Linked DNA regions of Oryzias latipes. The protein of the gene in region 2 purifies or fractionates together with the protein of the main gene of each other region. This does not show direct contact. Links are inferred from orthologs where the notes say so. Each region holds a gene or a part of one and is shown on either strand. Other genes may lie near its edges.

Region 1 (9,045 bases), on a different chromosome or scaffold from region 2:
TAGCCCCGCCTCTTTTACTTCCAGCTTCAACCAAATTAGGTGCATTCAGTCGCCATTTTTCCTCGATGCAGTGCAGATGCCGCCATGTTGGAGCCAGACGTGGTCAGTAAGCAGTGATTGGTCCAAACTGTGTCCAAATCTGAGGGCCGCGTTCTTCCTAGGCTGCATTTGAAGGCCGCTTACGTCGCAGCGCCGCGACAAGTACCGTCCAAATTCAACGACTCCTTCGAACACGGCCTTCTTTTTCCCGATTTCAAGATTGGTCTGGTGTTTCCTTCTCTGCTTCCCATCATGTCCCAAGATGCAAGACGAGCCAGGAAAACCTTCACTACTCCACTCACGGTTGCTAGGCGACAGGACATTCCCAGCTGTGACGGCTGGAATTAACTGAAGACTAGACTCGCCCTCGAATTTGGACACGCCCCAAGTAATGGTTTCTATGGCAACCCCTTTTACATATCAGGAGTGAGCTTGTTGGAAGGCCACACCCCTACCACGTGAAAATGGGCTATGGAACCACCTACTTTTATTGAGGCATCTGATTGGTCAGTTTATAACTTGAAAGAAAGAATGAGGATTATGAAGGTATAAAAAAAATCAGATCCAGAATGGTTCTTCTGCCGGCGTAAGTCATGGGATTTTGGCTTTGGAGCCACTTCCTGTTTGGAACGCCGTGGTCAGTCAGTGGTTCAAATTCCGTCACTAAGCCACTTAAACACTATACAGAGTGGGACTATCTAGCATCCTGGATTTTAACACAATTTGAACCTTTTTTGAACCACGACGTTTCCCATTTGTCAAAGTAAAATCTAATAAATATGGTTTTATGAAGACCATTGATGAATCCATTGTGTTCGGATGAGGAAAACTTGGATCATTAACGTTTCAAATCAATGCCGTTGTTGCCAGTCTTGAGGGCAACAATGCACTCTTTTGCAGACCTCTTTCCAAGTCACTGAATTTTGGATTTGGACCCCCAGACAAGCCCCCCCCCCTGTTTAGTGCACTGAAACCATAAACACGCCATGGACCTGCGGACCGGGACTTATGGCAGTGTCCTGACAGACGGGCCCACAAACACATCAGAGAATCGTACAGAATATCGGCTTTATTATGAAATCTGGGGATTTTCAGTTGAACCAGTCTGTTTGTACAGAGCTACGTCACGGATCTGGTTGATCACATCTTTATTACAAAACCGAAGCCTGATGAGGGACATGCAGCTGGTGAGAAGGCTCCAGCTGGACGGCTGCACGCCACCAGACCTGCTGCAGGAAATCACACGCCCAGAACTGCATTCAAAGTTTTTAATGTTCAACCCCAAACCTGACAGAAATATAGATGCAACAAAAAGCACACAGCAGTGTTGAACACCCCCCCCCCCCCCTCGACCCGCCCAGAAGAACCTCGACATGTAACGTGGACTTTCCTCTGCTGCAGAGCCAAACCGTACCGTTCTGACCCGGTTCTGCTCGAGCTGGAGGCGTCAAAGTCGAGGTTTTAAAAACGAAAGAATGAACGTCGAGCCTGACGCAAACATCTGAAGACGGCGGGAGGTGAGAGACGTTCCTCGAAGTCCCGCCTTCAGATAAGGGAGGAGGTGGAGCTTCCCGTCCAGAGAAGAATCCCTCAGACATTTTTACATCAGGAGTGCAATTTGTTGTTCGACAGCATGAACACAACAGATGACAGAAAACACAACCGGGGGCATCTTCTAAGGGGAATAAAACCTTCTCACAGCCATTCCTTCCCTTGGAGTTTCTCATTTTTGACTACAATGACTGAAAATGAAAAGCCCCTTTTCTGCTTCAGCTGGACTAAAACTCTCCAACAGATATGGACAATAAAAATCTGTTAAAAAAAAAAAGACCCACATTTATGGCAGAGTCCTTCAACCATCTGTTTTTTACAAAAGGAAGCAAACAGGAGAAGAAAACTTCCAGCCAGTCTCTTTTCCAGAGAGTAAATTACGGTCTTGGTGTCAAAAACAAAACAAAAAAAAACAGTAGAGGAACACAGGGAGGGATTGTGGAAATCGCTCTACACGACTCGTCGCACTTCAAAAAATCTCTTCAGGTAGTAAATTTGTCCGAGCGTCATGGCGACCAGGACCAGAGCTTCAAAGAAGGACCACAGGACCACCCTGCTGTTCGTGTTGTCATTGACTGAGGAGAAAAAGAACACAACGATTCATTTCAGATGCACTTCCAGCGTTGGAGGCACGTCTTTCTGGGCACGTACTCGCTCTGTGTATCCTCTCGCGGACCTCCATGTACTCCTGCTCATGCTTGACCGCTGTCATGGCAACAGCCAGCTCGTTGATCATCTCCTCCAGCTTGTTCTGATGAGCTGGAACAGGCAGAAAAACAAAAGAAGGTGTCACCACGTCGCCTGCACTCAACTCGTGCACAAAACCCATGCACGGCACTTTCACACGTCTGATGCACGTGCCGGGACGACACGCTGTCTAAAAGGACCAGATGCTTGTTAGTTTAAACTGCAGAACCGGTTAGATTTACAAAAAAAACGCCACAGTGCATCACAGGCTGCCTGATCCCTACCGTCCCAGCTGTTGGCACCTACAGGAGAGCAAAGGCCGTCAGAACGAACGGAGCATAAGAGCAACGCGTGAGGCGCGGATCAGAGAGAACGCTCAGCACACCTTCAGTCTCCATGTTCTGGCCTTTGGGAGCCTCTCCGATGTCGATGGTGAACATGACGATCTTGGGCGTCATGGTGGACATCTTGTTGCTGAAGCAGAACTTGTAGGTTCCGTCCATGTGAGCAGCCACAGAGTACTTCCCGCTGGACTCCCGGTCCCCTTTGTAGATCTGCTTCCCGTCAGGCCCCATTATCTACCAACGGAATAAGGAAACCATTTTTGATAAGATACCAGTGTCCAGTTGATGGCAGCAGGTAAATTCTGCACACGAAGCACAGCATCTTTTCTTGAAAACCTGTTTTTGAAGACCCGGATTAATGATTAGACCACCTACCCAGATACAAACAACGTCAGTTTAGCTCAAAGTAAATATATATATATATATATATATATATATATATATATATATATATATACATACATATACACACACACATATACATACATATATATAGCTTCATGATGGAAATTGTGTTAATAGTCGATTTATGCATTTATTTAGAAAAACAAAAACTTTTCTTTTAGTGACGGAAAAAGGATAAAGTTAAGATCAACAAATATCAAAACAAGGCTTTTTATATCAACATCTAAAAAAAAAATCCAAAACTTCCTCCTTGACATGTTCTACAATAGAGAAAAGCATTAAAGAGGTGAAATCATTATGGCCTCCTGAGTGTTTACAGAGCTCGTGTCAGATTTTCCATCTGATGTTTAAACACTTTCAGTCACGCTTCACTTCTTCTATTCAGTTGAACCGAGACAATCTGCTGATTTCTATCCTGTCGCTCTACGAAATTAAAAAAAATTGTAAACTGTATCTCTGAAACAGGTAGAACTTTATTTACTTTCCATTTGCTACAGAGGGAGGCAGCGGACATTAAGTTTGAAGGCCCCCTCTGATGAAAATGGCGTTTTTGACGTGGAGGACAAACAGAAAATTCAGCTTAAATCCATGATTGTCTTTGTTTTCCTGGTCTGAGCTGGAATCTGGATCAGAACTGGACGGACGGATGGATCTGATGTTGCTGCCATTTCTTTGCTACGCTAATGTTAGGTTGGGGGTGTGAGGGGCTGTAAGCTAGCAGGGGAGCATGTAAACAAAGTAAGGGAAGGGGTTGCTGGCTTGTTCTGCACCAACAGCTCAAGAAGTGAATTTCTAATGACCTCCTGCCGCTCTGCAGAAAGTATGTCCTAAACAAATTTTTAGGTTTTGGCTAAAAACTGCATCATCATAATCAAAAGGCCTTGAAAATAGATTAAAAGATGATTGGAGCGGAACTTTAAAGACCATATGGCCCTGTTTGAGTTGTTAATTGAAACACAGGTGGTTGAACATGAACACAATCGTTTTAAATAGATCTATTGCAGCATCAGAGAGGTTTCTTATCTGAAAGCCCCAGTTTGGAATTTTTTGTATTTAGACACAATCAACTGAAGCACTCTGGAAATGCCAGAAGATAAACTTTACTGTCACAACATTAGTAAAATCAGTTTAATACATTTAAACACTAAATTGAACTCCACTGAATATGTTTAGATACTGAATATGCAGTTTCTTTAGACCACAGCAGAAAGCGTGTTATCAAAAAAGTGGTGATAAGTGTAAAAGATGACTCATCACAATGCAGACACCTGTGTTTTTGCTTCACCATAATTCACATTTCAATACCTCTTCTTTACGGTTTTAAAACCTGATAAAATGGTTTTATTTCCTATAGTTTACGGGTTTTACATAAAAAGTTTGTATTTAGACACATTGAATATTTAACAAACCATATGGCAGAAAGTGAGTCAGAACACCAGCTTTGTGTGTCAACTATCTGAACATTAAGTCGACAAATCACAAAATGTTAAATAATGTTGCACAACTTTAATTTGTAACAGTTAGCATCTCTAACGCAATGCTAAAGTTATAAATGCCATAACTTCTGTGTATAAACTGTCTTCAAATGATCCAGGAAAACGTTATTATTGTTAATATTTAGGTCAAACGTTTCTAACATCAAGTTAAAGGCCACAAATCCAGCGCTACCTAGCATCAAGTTGACATTACGTGGACAGACAGCTAAAGGCTAACCGCTAGCATTAGCATAGGCCCCGTTTAACCTCGAAAGATTTACAGGAACAACTCAAAATAAAAAATACATTTTGTGTTGATACATTGCGTCAATTAAATGTTTCACCTCGACGTCGATGTCCAGAAAGCCTCCTTCTGCCACCTCGAACATGAGGCCCATCTTGGTGCCGGAGTTCACCCGCTCATAGAAGCACTCTTCGGCATGGGCGTCTATGCTAACGAAGTAGCCGGACGCGGTGGCCGTCAGGACGGCCAGCAGGACGACCAGCTCCGAGGCGGTAAACATGTTTCAGGCAGAGAAAGACGCGTCCGGACTGTCCGGCCCTCTTTTCCGAGGAGAATCCTGCAGGATGGAGGTACGTGGAGGAAGAGAGGCTCCGCAGGAAAGGAGCTGCACCAGCCTCGGCTGCTGTACACCGCTCTGAGACTGCCACGTAAGGGCTTACAGGACAGCAGCTCGAGAGGGACAAACTTAAGAAAAGCGGTCCGTAAAAAAAAAAAAAAAAAGATTTCTAAAGTCGAACCTGGCTTTCTGCGCATTCTTATAAAAAACAATTAATTAAAGTATATCTTCAGAAAATACATGTAAAGATTCAGTAGTAGTTGTCTGAAGTTTTTCCCTCAATAATCCTTGAAAACCATATGGTGTGAGTTATCTTTGAGGCATTTGAAAGTATAAAAAATATTTTTATGTCTTTTAAATTGTACATCTTTTACATCAGTACATCCACGTGTTTGCTTTGTATTTCTCTAATTCTTCTTAACGGTTTCTATAATTTCGTCTTTTTATAATGACTCAAACTGAAGTCTAAAGTCAATTGTGGTGGATAAATATAATTAATTTATCATAAATCCATTATTGAAAATATTTTGATTTATAATGTAGGCTTTGACTCACTTTAGCATGTCTCCAGAAAAAAAAAAATCTTCAGAGTTTATCCAATTTAATGCATGTGCATGTTTTGTAAATGTATTTTTGTGTTCAAAAGTTCAGTGTCGTGCGACTGTTTTTGTGCACATTCTTGGTTTTCACAGTTGTGTCAAGGAAAATGTATTTATTTGTTGGTCAAACTGCAGGAAAAGCTGGACACACAAAGTGGTGTTTCAATAATTATTTTTGAGGATTCAGTATAAAATTTCATCTTTTAAAGAAAGATACAGTAAGGAAACTGGTTTTAAAACTCTGTACATATAAATATATATATATATATATATATATATATATATATATATATATATATATATATATATATATATATATATATATATATTTTACTAAGACACATTGTTCTGGGATTATTTGCTTCAGGAATAATCCACCTATCAACGTTTTTGGATAAATTATCGTATTGCTGGAATCTTTGTCAGTAAAATCTAAGGATTCACTGAATATATGGAGTTTGTGAAATTGCTGCTTTCTTCACAAAAGGATAAAAATAAACTTTCTGAAGGTTAAGAAGCAAGACAATTCAAATATTTTTGGCACAGCTTCCGTCAAATTATAATTTATTGAGTAAAATAAAATAATTTTATTTCAGAAGTGTACCTTATTGTCTTTGCAAGGATAATAATGGTGTCTGATTTAAATCATGGAAAAATGTTTTAACCTCCCAAAAAAGTATTTTTTTAAATAGAATTGTGACATTTGGACGTTCAAAAGTCGTCATAATATTCCAGATGTTTTTTTTAAAAGATCTGGAAAATAATATATGTATATAAGAAAACAAAAACAAGACACAAACTTTAGCATTACATCCTGCAAGTACTCTCGTAGTAAGACTTTGGGGTTAGCTTAATTTATGTCCCGCTTTATGCCGGTTGAGGGGAGCTCTTCCCGTCAAACCGGTTACTTCCGCCAGGGCGAAGCGCGTCGAGAAACGGGAGCTCCAGGTGTCCAGATCCGCGTTCTCTGTTTTGTCGCATGTTTGGTGACGTCCAATAGTTGCCGTGAAGTCTCCGGACCGAGGCCTACGGACATTTCCCCCCGAAGCGGACGGCCATTCACGTTTCTGCGGATGCTTAAGTAGTTTCTAGTGCCCGTTGTGATCGGGTTTCTCTGTTCACCGATGAAGCACTTTATTGATTGATCAAGGCGGGAACGATCGGAAACCCTAGCTAGCTAGTTGAAGCTAGCGCTAGCTGCCAGCGAGGAAGTGAGGAGGGGGAAAAAAATGACATCTCGGAGGTAAGAGAGGCTTGTTTGGGACACAATTTAAGCGCAGGCAGGGACGTTGGAGTGAACCCAGATTCACGGATCTGCTCGGTAGTCGAACCCAACCGGACCGACGGTTCTGGAACAGCCCGAGGGCAGAGGAGCCGCTGTTGTCCGGGCGTTCAGTGAAGTTCCACACCGGCGTCTGGAGCCGTTACTTAGTGGACGAGTCGACAGCATTTCTGCTGGGGTGGAACTTTAGGTTTTTCACAAAAGTTTATGAAAACGATCGAATAATCAGGGAATAACTTTAAACATAGAGTTACTTTAATCCATAACATGTGATTTATGTCAGTGTTTTGGTTTGTTTCTGCACATTCGGCGTTAGTTCACCACTTTAATGGTCATTTTTCCAAATAAAGAAGTTTCAAATTCAGTCATAAATAGATTTCCTGCCAGCTGTTTTCAGCAGAGACTTGAGTCTCTCATGCAGGGAGACTTGTGATCAATGCTCACTTTTTTTGGTTTTTATTTATACCTCTGGGACAAAAGAACAACAACAACCTTTTAGTGCAGAAAAGCTAAATGTGTTTTCTTGTGCTTGTTTTTCAACGTGCAATTTGCGTCTAAGAAGAGGCTCATTTTAACCACAACTCGCTGGGAAAAAGTGACTTGTGAGCATCTTTGGTTGAGTTTCAGCTGATTTGATGAGAAGCAACAGAAAGGAAAGAGGAAAACCTTCCGTCTGCTTCATCTGACACATTCCACAGAACATCCACAAGACGGAAGCGTCTGGCCGCAGAGGCGCCGTCGCAGCCAGGCCTTTGCTCAAGCAAAAAAAAAAAAGTGTTTTTGATCAGCAAACAGGAAGAAAGTTTGGCTGAAACACCAGCGTGAGGTTTAGCGTTGAAGGCACATGATCTATTTAAAGTTTCATTAGTCAAAAAGGCAAAGACGAGGCGGATCGTGTGCAGAGAGGAGGCCAGAAACGCAGACGGGACCAGACGCAGACGCAGACGGAACCAGACGCAGACAGAGACGGGACCAGACGCAGACAGGACCAGACGCAGACGGGACCAGACGCAGGCGGGACCAGACGCAGACGGGACCAGACGCAGACGGGACCAGACGCAGACGGGACCAGACGCAGACGGGACCAGACGCAGACGGGACCAGACGCAGACGGGACCAGACGCAGACGGGACCAGACGCAGATGGGACCAGACGCAGACGCAGACGGGACCAGACGCAGACACCCAGTCAAACTGTAGAAAACATGAAAAATGAATTGGAGAGGATGCAGAAGCCATCCTTCTCATTCAGACAGGGGCTGCAGGATATGAGGAAAACTCGCAAAATGCAATTTTAGTGATATAACTTGTGATAAATGAACAAATATAAAAAAACCAGAAAAACATTTCCATTTCACTGCATAAGTTTAACTTAAATTAGAGTCAAAATACCTTCAATTATTCTCCAAACGACCCTCGTCTAATTAGGAGGGCAACAACCTACATTAAAGCTCCATCTGATTGGTCAAATGCATAAATGGATTGATTTGATTCGTTAAATACTTCAAGCTGCCATAAGATTGTTTTAGCACATAAAATGTTTACTATTTATTGCGTTTTTCACCGACTTTTGCGATATGGAGATCGCACAGCTTGGAATCGCGATATCGGTAAATTTTTCAGACTGTTTGACTGAATTCTTTGGCTCTGAAATGAGGCCTTTTCCTGCAAAATCCTCCTTGAATTTCTCCAAAGAAAAGGATAACCTGGTCTTCAGGTGACTGTCCAGTATGAGCGTGTTCTGCTCACGGCGGAATGACCATTTATTGAGATTGTTTGCTGCTATTGATGGATCAGTTGGTCGGCGTTGTTCTGGTTTCCTCTTTTTCACGTTTGGTTTTTCTGATCATCAGATCATTTTTGTGCAGTTATTTTATCATGAAGTGGTATTTATGCCATCACGTTGCAAACAAAACTTTCTAAGTTGCAAATGAAAATATTAAATATTTGCTTTTAGATTTTTCAAAAAAAATTCTGCCATAAAATTTTTTTTTGGAATTTTAATTTTTTTTCTTTCAATTTTATTTTGCTTTCAAAAAAATATTTATGCGTTAGCGACACAAATGTTTTGCGTTGTGACTCA
Region 2 (9,038 bases):
AAGATAATGAAACTTTCAAAAACCACTTTGATTCATTTACCAAAGACACCCAATATTGGCTTGCAGTAATATTTCAGAAAACTTAACTGATAAATGACGCAATTAAATCATTTTTTTCCTTCTTAAAAACCTGCACTGCAAAAAACTTAATCTTGATAAAGTAGTAGTAGTTTCCATGTTTCAAGGAAAAATGTCTTATTTTCTGTCTTACAAGAAAAATAATCTCAATAAAAGCTTTTCAACAACAATCTTAGTTTAAGAAAATATGTTTTAGTAACTGGAATTTTTTTCTTAAAAAAGTGGAATTCTTGGTAAGACAGAAAAAAATAATGTAAGAATGTTTGACATATTTCTAGGATTTCTTTTGTAGTATTAGACTTGTGAAATACACTAAAGTTAACCCCTTAATGCCTGACTTTATTTCCAACTATAAAAAGAAAATATTCTTCCACATTTTTTCCTGTTCTTGTGATGCTAAATTAAGGGAAGCCTTAAAATAAAGGGTGTGCTGAGAATTAACAACATACGGCATAAAGTGGTTAAAAGACAGCAAACGCTAAATGTGGAAACAATAACTAAACCGTGTGACATCATAAGGATAAAGAGTAAGCTTTGGTTAGACATTTACCGGTCTTTTTGCCAAACTCTCCCTCCAGTTCTGCCTGCGTTCCAGTGAGGGGCAAATCCACCATTTCCATGGTCAACACGTCTGATAGGGCCTCCTCTCTGGTCCACAATACACGCCCTGAAAGAACACTTATTATTGTTCTGCAACTGACCATTACAACTTTCCACACTCTGCAAGAAAAATCTGCTTTTTGTTATCACTTCTTAGCAACAACACACTGATGGCATTTCCTATACATTTCCTATTTTCATGAGGGTGGGAAGGATACAGCTTTGAATACATCATGAAACCTGAATCTGTATTTAACAAAAAGGCTTGATGTCAGCTGCACATCTGATGACTCAGAGGTGGTATCAGTGAAAATGTAAAACCAAGGCAAAACTTTGCTCTTCGGAAAGAGATAATGAATAGCAGCAGACATCATAACATCCGAGAGACTTCCACTGACAAAAACTCTCATGTAATGTAACTCTATAAACAATCACTGAGCTAGTTTCTTCAAGGAAACAACAGTTTTTAACAAAGCAGTTTAAAACATCAGATTAGCTTGTGAAAAGCTGTGATTAAAACAGCAGGGCACTACTTTGGTGCCGCACCATGGCAGAAATGACACCAAAAATGTGCGTTGGTGTTAATTATCCATGCCCTGCCTCATCAATCTACTTGAAAAGGGAAACAATACAAAAATAAAACGAGACAAAACTGAATCCAAAAAGATTCTAGCTATGCACAAGACAGCAAAACCTATGTGTAAGGCTAGATTAATGCCACAAGGTTAGGCTCATTGCACGATTGAGTCGTCCTAACACACTTCCACGAGTGGGTAGCTCCTATTTAACTGACTTGAAGAAATTAGTACATTTTGTTCAGGATTTAACTTTGATTCCACATTTATTTGTTGGAAATTCTGATAAACACCAACCTAATCAACTGTCAAGTTAAGTGTAATAAAGTAATTTTTTTGTAGAAGTGTTGCACAAAACCCCAAATCCCAGAACTATTTCTGCTATTACATTTGTTTCATACAGTATACGAAAAGTATGACTAAATGTATGCTTTTATAAAAAACTGTTAATGTGTTTTAACTGTTTATTGATGAGTCCAACAACACATTTTTTCAGCCAGCACAACATGAAATATCATTAAAAAACTTTTTTTTTAATGAATAGATGCTGTGTCATCATGATGCTCTGAAAATCCAAATTTATCAGTTTGTGTCTTTGTGTTGCTAAATGTCATTGAAAACATAAAGTAGAAACAAATCCAAAACATTCTTTGATATTTGGTGTCATCTTTGTCTTAGCTTTTCTTTATACCTGGCTGCTGTATGAAAGTAAGCGCGTGGTCTTTGGTCTGCACCATCACTCTGTAGCCAACAGAATCATCTTTCTTCAGAAACGCTTGAATATTCAGCTGAAAAACAGAAATAAAACAAATGGACTGATTAATTTATCCGGTATTTTAATCTAAATGTTACTGCTAATTTTAAAAATCTATGATAAGGCCACGGCAGAAAACAATTTGGACCTACAGACTCACCCTCTCTGGTTTCCCACCATTAGGATCCATGGTAAAAATCAATGTGGTGTCAAGAAGTCTGCGCCCAGTTTCAGCATTATAGAGGTTAATAGTGGAGGCCTGTGTGGCAGGAGCAACATAATATAGCACATTAAAAACAATACCTCAACAGCACTTACATAAAATTACCGTACTCCTGACTGTACCTGTTCTCAGTTTCAACACAAAAAAATAATATGATGTAAAAAGTCTTACAGATTTTTTCATCCCACCAGTTTAATGATTTTTAGGTTCCATATTTGAGTCCCAAAATCCAGTAATGAACATTTAAGCTCTAAATTGTCATGAACTTACAGTTTTATTCTTCGGTGACATGACAGCAGCAACAGTCTTTTCTCCAGTCGTTGCAAACGAAACAAGCAGGGCCTAAAAATAAAGATAAATATGAAGCTGATTACAGAAATTGCAACTTTAAACTTAAACTTACAGGGGGATGACTTCAGTTAGTAATTTTACATGACTACCTTGGTCATAAGAGGACCAGTCAAGCGTAGTCATATAACACACTATTCGTTAAAATGATATTTAAACCAGGAAAGAAAAAATATTTAAACAATTTGAACTAAAAAGCATTGCATCCTGCAGTTAAGAGCACAATGTGTCCTCAAAGCTTAGTAGTGCACATTTATGGTCGACTATTACACAGTAAATAGAAACTTTTATTTCACCAGGCAAAACATTAAGAACAATTTCTTATTTACAATGTGGTGCACAGTGCAGAATGGGATGTCATTTTCCAAAGGCTATCATTTTTCTGGTTCAATTATAGATGGTTGCTCTTCAAATGAAAGCATTTTAAGAGCAACCCCAAAGTCTTACTCCCTTTAAATTGTTTTATTGTTTAAAATGTCATTTTTCAAGAAAGCAAGCTTAAAAAGGGTTAAAGTACTGGAGTCGAGGTGAATAGCACACATTCTGCAATCTCAAAGTCAAAATAGAAAAGTGCTGTTTGGAGAAAGCGTTACATACTGGTTTGAAATCCCTCAACATCACTATCTGCCCACTGTTGAACTGGAGAAGAACATAGCGATCAGGTCCAAGCTGAAGAAAAAACTCTGACAGTGGCTGCTTAGCCGGGTTAGGCTGGTGTGACACTAAAGATGGACGAAAGTCCGGGTCTACTTCAAGTTCCAGAGACTGAGGAAAGACAAACAAAACAAATGCCAAATTTCACATGGAGAATATGATTGTCTTAAAGTGTGAAATTTCTTGTAAGTGAGATTAAATGATGAAAAAGAGCAATGGACAGTAATTCCACAAAGCAGAAATATGTATACATTTTTTACCTGTAAGGGAATCTGGTTCATTTGTAACTGCAAGGTTAAGTCAAGTGTGTAAAGGGACATCGTCGTAGAATCTACACAGATCAACATCTCTTGGTCAACTATTTGACAGCTTTCTGGTATACTGGACAGCCAAGGAGCTTCAACTGAGCTCTGCAACCAAAACAAGTATTAGGTAAAAACAATGGGTGGCTTGTTTTACTTATATTAATTTCAACTTTATGCATCATACCTGCTTAAGTATCTCTCCATCATCCACACTAAAAGCAACAACAGCAATGTGGGAATGCGGAACAACTCCCAATACATAAACTTCCCCATTTCCACCCGAGTATACCGTTTGGTAATCCACAGTATCACTGTCAAGATAAAAACACAGGTGGTTACAAAACAGTTTCAATGCTCATAATGTGCAGTATTTAAAGAATGTGTGTTTCTATAACATAAAGATACATAAAAGTTTTATTCATGTCACTGACAATACGATTGTATGGAAGCAAATTTTGCCGATTGGTAAGTTTATCATATTTTACCTGTCTGGAAGGTTCTCAATCCACTTTTGATGACCATTAGACAAGTAATGAAGAGAGATGGCAGTTTTCTTCAGAACAGCAACATTTTTAACTGTTCCTTGCTGTCCTACTAAACGAGTGGACTGAAAGCTTAAAATAGAATAAAAAATAAAAAAAGGTTCAAAGTATATAATACAATAACTGCACAGACTGTCAATGAAATACTCACCTGCCGGAGTCAAGCACAACCTCCCAGTTTAAACCACCAATATTGGTCTCCCAGGAACGCAGGACGCGGCCATTGCCTACCACTAAAACAGAGTCTAGGAAGGAACCAAAAAACTGTTAGAAACATTTTTAAAGATCATAGACACTAAAATCTCTGAAATAGAACTTCTTTACCTTGCCCATTTTGCAGAAAAGCATCAATATTTCCCTCTGGGCCAGTCTTGTCCACATGCCGCCACACTGTAATAGTAATTTGTCTTTCCATTCAGCATGTCAGTTTTGATCATGGGCTTAATCAATTTCAGACTAGTAAAATACTCACAGACTTCCCCTGTCCTGGTATTAAGTGCAGCAAAAACATTACTCTCCGTTGCTAGTAGAACTTTTTTGGATGACTGCATATGTGCATCAAAATGACAAAAACGAACCTTGCCTACATACTGCTGCCTCCTGTGCAACACAAGAATAAGATATTAAAAATTAAATCTTCAACAAGATGAGTTTTCTCAGGCTAAATGCCACATAAGAACTAATGAATATGAATGCAACCTTGACTGACAAAGTGTCCTTGGCACCACTTTCGTGGTTCTATTACTTTTTCCATTGCCATGGTCAGATACTTTAAAACATACATCACTTTTGCTAGGCTATTAGGTGTGTCTATTTAAACAAGACAATAAATCAGCTACAGAAATACAATAATCTTAAAACAAGGAATTAAAGCATCCTTTTGAGGAGTTAATCCCACACCGAGCCGCAGCAGCAATGCCTGACAGATGTTAGCATTAGCATTGGCACATAAAAGCAGAAAATCGAAGCGAACATTTTAACAGATTATTACAAATACTTATTTTGAAGTATTAACTTATTTTACCAATCAAATTTTCCAACTTGATCCTCAAACACGGCATAAACAGTGCCACAAAAAAGTATACATTTAAGCAACAACAAAATTAGCTTTGCCATTGCAGCAGCAGTTTGAGTGCGCTTCCGCAAGAAAAGGAAGTAAGTTGTTGTCACTTCCGTTTTTTCTTTGACTTTCAAACAAATGGCTGCCATCTACAGGCATCTTTATTATTATTATTATTATTATTATTATTATTATTATTATTATTATTATTATTATTATTATTATTATTATTATTATTATTATTATTATCATTAGTAGTAGTAGTAGTAGTAGTAGTAGTATAATCATTATTAAATGACCATGCTTAATTACATACCTGAAAAGTAAAATATTTAATCGAGTTAAATATTAATATTGTAATTAATAGTAATACAATATATATTGTTTTTTCAAAATGTTGAATGTGAGATTTATTAATCATTGTTATATAAATTCTACTTTAAAATAAAAAAAACAACATCCAATCTATTGTGTGTGAAATCTAAAAACCATGAAATCCCAACGAATAAAAATTATAAATAAACTAAAATATAAGGGAACCTATGATTAGTATCTGTTATGCGTACACTATGAATTTTTTGGCAAGCAGTAAATAAAATTGAATAAAAGTTCTTCATATCTCTAGGGTGTTTTACACAAACATAGCAAAAAAAAATTACCTCTTAAATGTTTACAAAAAATTACTTTACTATTATGAGAGATTTACATGATACTTTTCTTTAAAAAACAAACAAACAAAAAAAAACATCAATATTTTTTGAGGAGGTTCTTTCAGATTGTGTTGAGCGCCCCCTGTAATTTACTTTCACACCTCTTTCCGCCACAGCTAGCTTTTCTATGATATTTCAAGATGGCGTCAAGCGGAGGCGATGGGGAACACGAATGGACAGCGGCAGTACGACCGCTGTTATCAGCTTCGTATACTGCTTTTGAAACAAAGGAGCTTCCTCAGCTTATTGGCTCTATAATTAACAGGTACCTGTTTACATGTCAGAAAATAAAAATGTCCTGTTTGTCCCTAACCTCCCCAATACTATCCAGACCTAGCTGTCTTGCTAACTTAGCTTAACTGACAGTGTAGTTCTATGGGAAACAACACTGAGCTAACGTTAGCAGCTAGTAGTCCACTCGCCGAAACTTGCACTGTGATCGAGTTCGTTTCAGACTGTAGCAAGTATGCTAACTTTTTAATGTTGTCATGGGTTGCATAACTATTCACTTTATATGTCTTAACAAGACCCAGGGACCTTTCGCAATCTGAATGATTTTTAAAAATAACCCAGCTGCTTTATAAACGTTTTATGATGTGGCTGTTGGGTGGTTTAAAAAAATTGCTTCATCATTAGCTAGCTAACTCCAGTATTAGCTAACCATGGGCCCTCACATACGTAGCTCTAAAATTGGCCAATCAGGGATAGATTTACTTGTTAAAGCTCAAATACATTCGGTTTGTGCACCGAACTTGCTAAATTGAGTTAACGTTGTGACTGTCATGCGTGAAATAAGCATTAGCTGATGGTTAAAAGTTAGAACCCCGATCGTTGCATGGTTATGTTTGGGTTAAGTAGGCGTGGACCTAACTTCTTACTTAATTTTAGTCAGTGATCAATTTGTAGGTTATCACACAACAAATATCTTAGCTTTGCTGGATCTTAATTGCTGTTCGGTTTATAGTACTTAAAACGATATTCAAGTAGTTACTTGATACCCAAATCGTCTGGGCTAATGACACCCAGTGGAGAGCTTCCCATAATGATTACGTTTAAGTTTCATTTTCCTTTGAAACATGCTGCCAACAAATGGCAAGATTTGAACAAATGGTTTACTTCATTAAGCTTACATTTATCATTTATTTTTATCTACTTTCTTTATCTTCGATTACAGAAACAGAACCCTTATCTTAAGACATGTTTGTCTTCCTCTTTAGTTAGGAAAAGCAATCAAGCCTGTTTGTGTAAAGCCTCAGGTGATTATGCAGTATGAAGTTAAATGGAACTAAATCGAGCTGTACTTAAAGAGACTTTTAAAGTCTTTTCTTTAAAGCATCATCCTTATAAGACTTGAAACATCATAACAATGTTTCAATTATGATGGAAACAATAAAAAAATGTAATATAAGTAAACCTCACTTTGAATTTTGCTCCAGGTTTGCTTTAATTACAGAAATGCTACATATTAATTTGAATGCTCACAGTTAATGTGTTTGTTGACAAACAAGCTAGTCTTTTTTATTATGTGATAACTATAAATTGGTTTAAGTGGATACACATTTAAATGTGAATTTTTATCTGCTAAGTTCTTTAAACTAAATAAACTTAGAAGAAAAACAAGCTGAGCTTCTTGTTAGCTTGCAAGTTAAATTGTGAGTCTGCAGCCTGCTATGTTTTTGGTTGCTGTTTTCATGCAGTGGATAGAACTGATGAATGTCTTTTATTGATGGGTTAAAACTTATTTTTAGATCTAGCTTTACAGTATGTCAAGGAAAAAATGTTAGTTCTGAAGATTTTTGTGAAAGAAAGAAAAGCTTGACAACAAGTATGACTCTCACATTTCATGCTTGTTTAACTTGGTGAAGTAACCCACGCTATAAACGGATCTTTATTGATTTTCTTTCATAATTTAACAAATTTAACTTTTGGCTTAAAAGAGATTGAATGTGGTAGCCATAGCAGAAAAAATGTATTCTTAATTGTTTAATGAAGTACTCGTAATACTGGTAATTCTCATCATCCTCACAAATTTCAAGTTAAAAATGCTGTTATGTGACCTTATGTGACTGCATTTGTGATGAAGAAACATATGTCTTTCAGTGTTATTTAGGTGTAAATCTATCTATAAGCTGTAGCTGTTCTTCTGATCAATAGGTCAGAAGTTTAAAGTCTCTTCAACTGTTAAAGACTCTTTATGCTCCTCCTTTTTTTGAGTGTGATGTTTGGGTAGCTTTGGGTCTCTAAAATAGGCCATATTTTATATAAAAATGCAATTTAAATGGGGTTACAGAGGCATAAAAGATGGTGGCCTTACTCAGAACAGCAGTAAATAATGCTAAGACAAGGTCAGGAGAAAATATGCTGGTAAACGGTTTCAAGATCAGCAGTGATGAATGTTCTGGTTTTAGTCGAAACTTTGGCATCGGGGTTCACTTCTCTAACAATAGTTCTTAAGACAAAGGTATGATTTAGTTTTGTCTTGAAGGAAAAAGGTTAAATTAAAGTGTGTATATATATATATATATATATATATATATATATATATATAAATAATATCAGTTAGGGCTGCACGATATGAGGAAAACTTGCGATATGCGATATTGGTGATTAATATTGCGATAACGATATAATTTGTGGTATATAAACAAATAGCAAAACAACCAAAAACATAATTTCCATTTCACTGCAACAGTTTAAAAATTATACTCCAAATGACCCTTGTCGAAGTAGGAGGCAAACATCAAACATAAAAGGGCTCATCTGATTGATCAACAACGTAAACGGGTCCTTCCGATTGGTTAAATGCATAAAGGGATTTATTTCATTTGATCAATATTTCAAGCTGCCATGAGTTTGTTTTAGCACATTTAAGGTAACCATTTATTGCGATTTTTGACATATTTTGCGGTATGCATATTGCACAGCTTGATGTTGCGATAACGATAAATTTGCGGTATATTGTGCAGGCCTAATATCAGTCTTTATTTTGATAATGCAATGTTGATACGTTACATCCATAAATTGACTTTTCTAATTAGTTTCTACCTCTCAGGAAAATATCATTTCTACTTCTCAGGAAAATATAATATAATTTAGAAAATTTTCATTTTCTAAATTATATTAACATATTTCATCATTTAAAATCACTTATTTTGGCAAAAGGTTTTATTTAATAACTAAAGCGATTTT

The links.
Region 1: the proteins of emc1 (region 2) and transmembrane emp24 domain-containing protein 2 purify together in Homo sapiens (affinity purification with mass spectrometry; 3 studies listed by BioGRID and IntAct, with this or other methods). This does not show direct contact. The link is inferred for Oryzias latipes from reciprocal best matches to the Homo sapiens genes EMC1 and TMED2.

What each region holds. Positions count from the first base shown.
Region 1 is NC_019870.2:1,423,526-1,432,570, reverse strand, and holds transmembrane emp24 domain-containing protein 2, read right to left. Parts: upstream 5,160-9,045; 5' UTR 5,026-5,159; coding exon 4,846-5,025; intron 2,856-4,845; coding exon 2,663-2,855; intron 2,580-2,662; coding exon 2,562-2,579; intron 2,350-2,561; coding exon 2,242-2,349; intron 2,166-2,241; coding exon 2,041-2,165; 3' UTR 1,089-2,040; downstream 1-1,088. Other genes in the region: ptpn11 (tyrosine-protein phosphatase non-receptor type 11), read left to right, coding at 6,911-6,924. UniProt on the Homo sapiens protein: Involved in vesicular protein trafficking. Mainly functions in the early secretory pathway but also in post-Golgi membranes.
Region 2 is NC_019865.2:7,724,643-7,733,680, reverse strand, and holds the start of emc1 (ER membrane protein complex subunit 1), read right to left. Parts: upstream 5,236-9,038; 5' UTR 5,196-5,235; coding exon 5,104-5,195; intron 4,680-5,103; coding exon 4,552-4,679; intron 4,470-4,551; coding exon 4,404-4,469; intron 4,325-4,403; coding exon 4,231-4,324; intron 4,152-4,230; coding exon 4,023-4,151; intron 3,849-4,022; coding exon 3,722-3,848; intron 3,643-3,721; coding exon 3,493-3,642; intron 3,344-3,492; coding exon 3,176-3,343; intron 2,573-3,175; coding exon 2,501-2,572; intron 2,267-2,500; coding exon 2,168-2,266; intron 2,042-2,167; coding exon 1,945-2,041; intron 746-1,944; coding exon 629-745; intron 1-628. Other genes in the region: E3 ubiquitin-protein ligase UBR4, read left to right, coding at 5,990-6,114. UniProt on the Homo sapiens protein: Part of the endoplasmic reticulum membrane protein complex (EMC) that enables the energy-independent insertion into endoplasmic reticulum membranes of newly synthesized membrane proteins.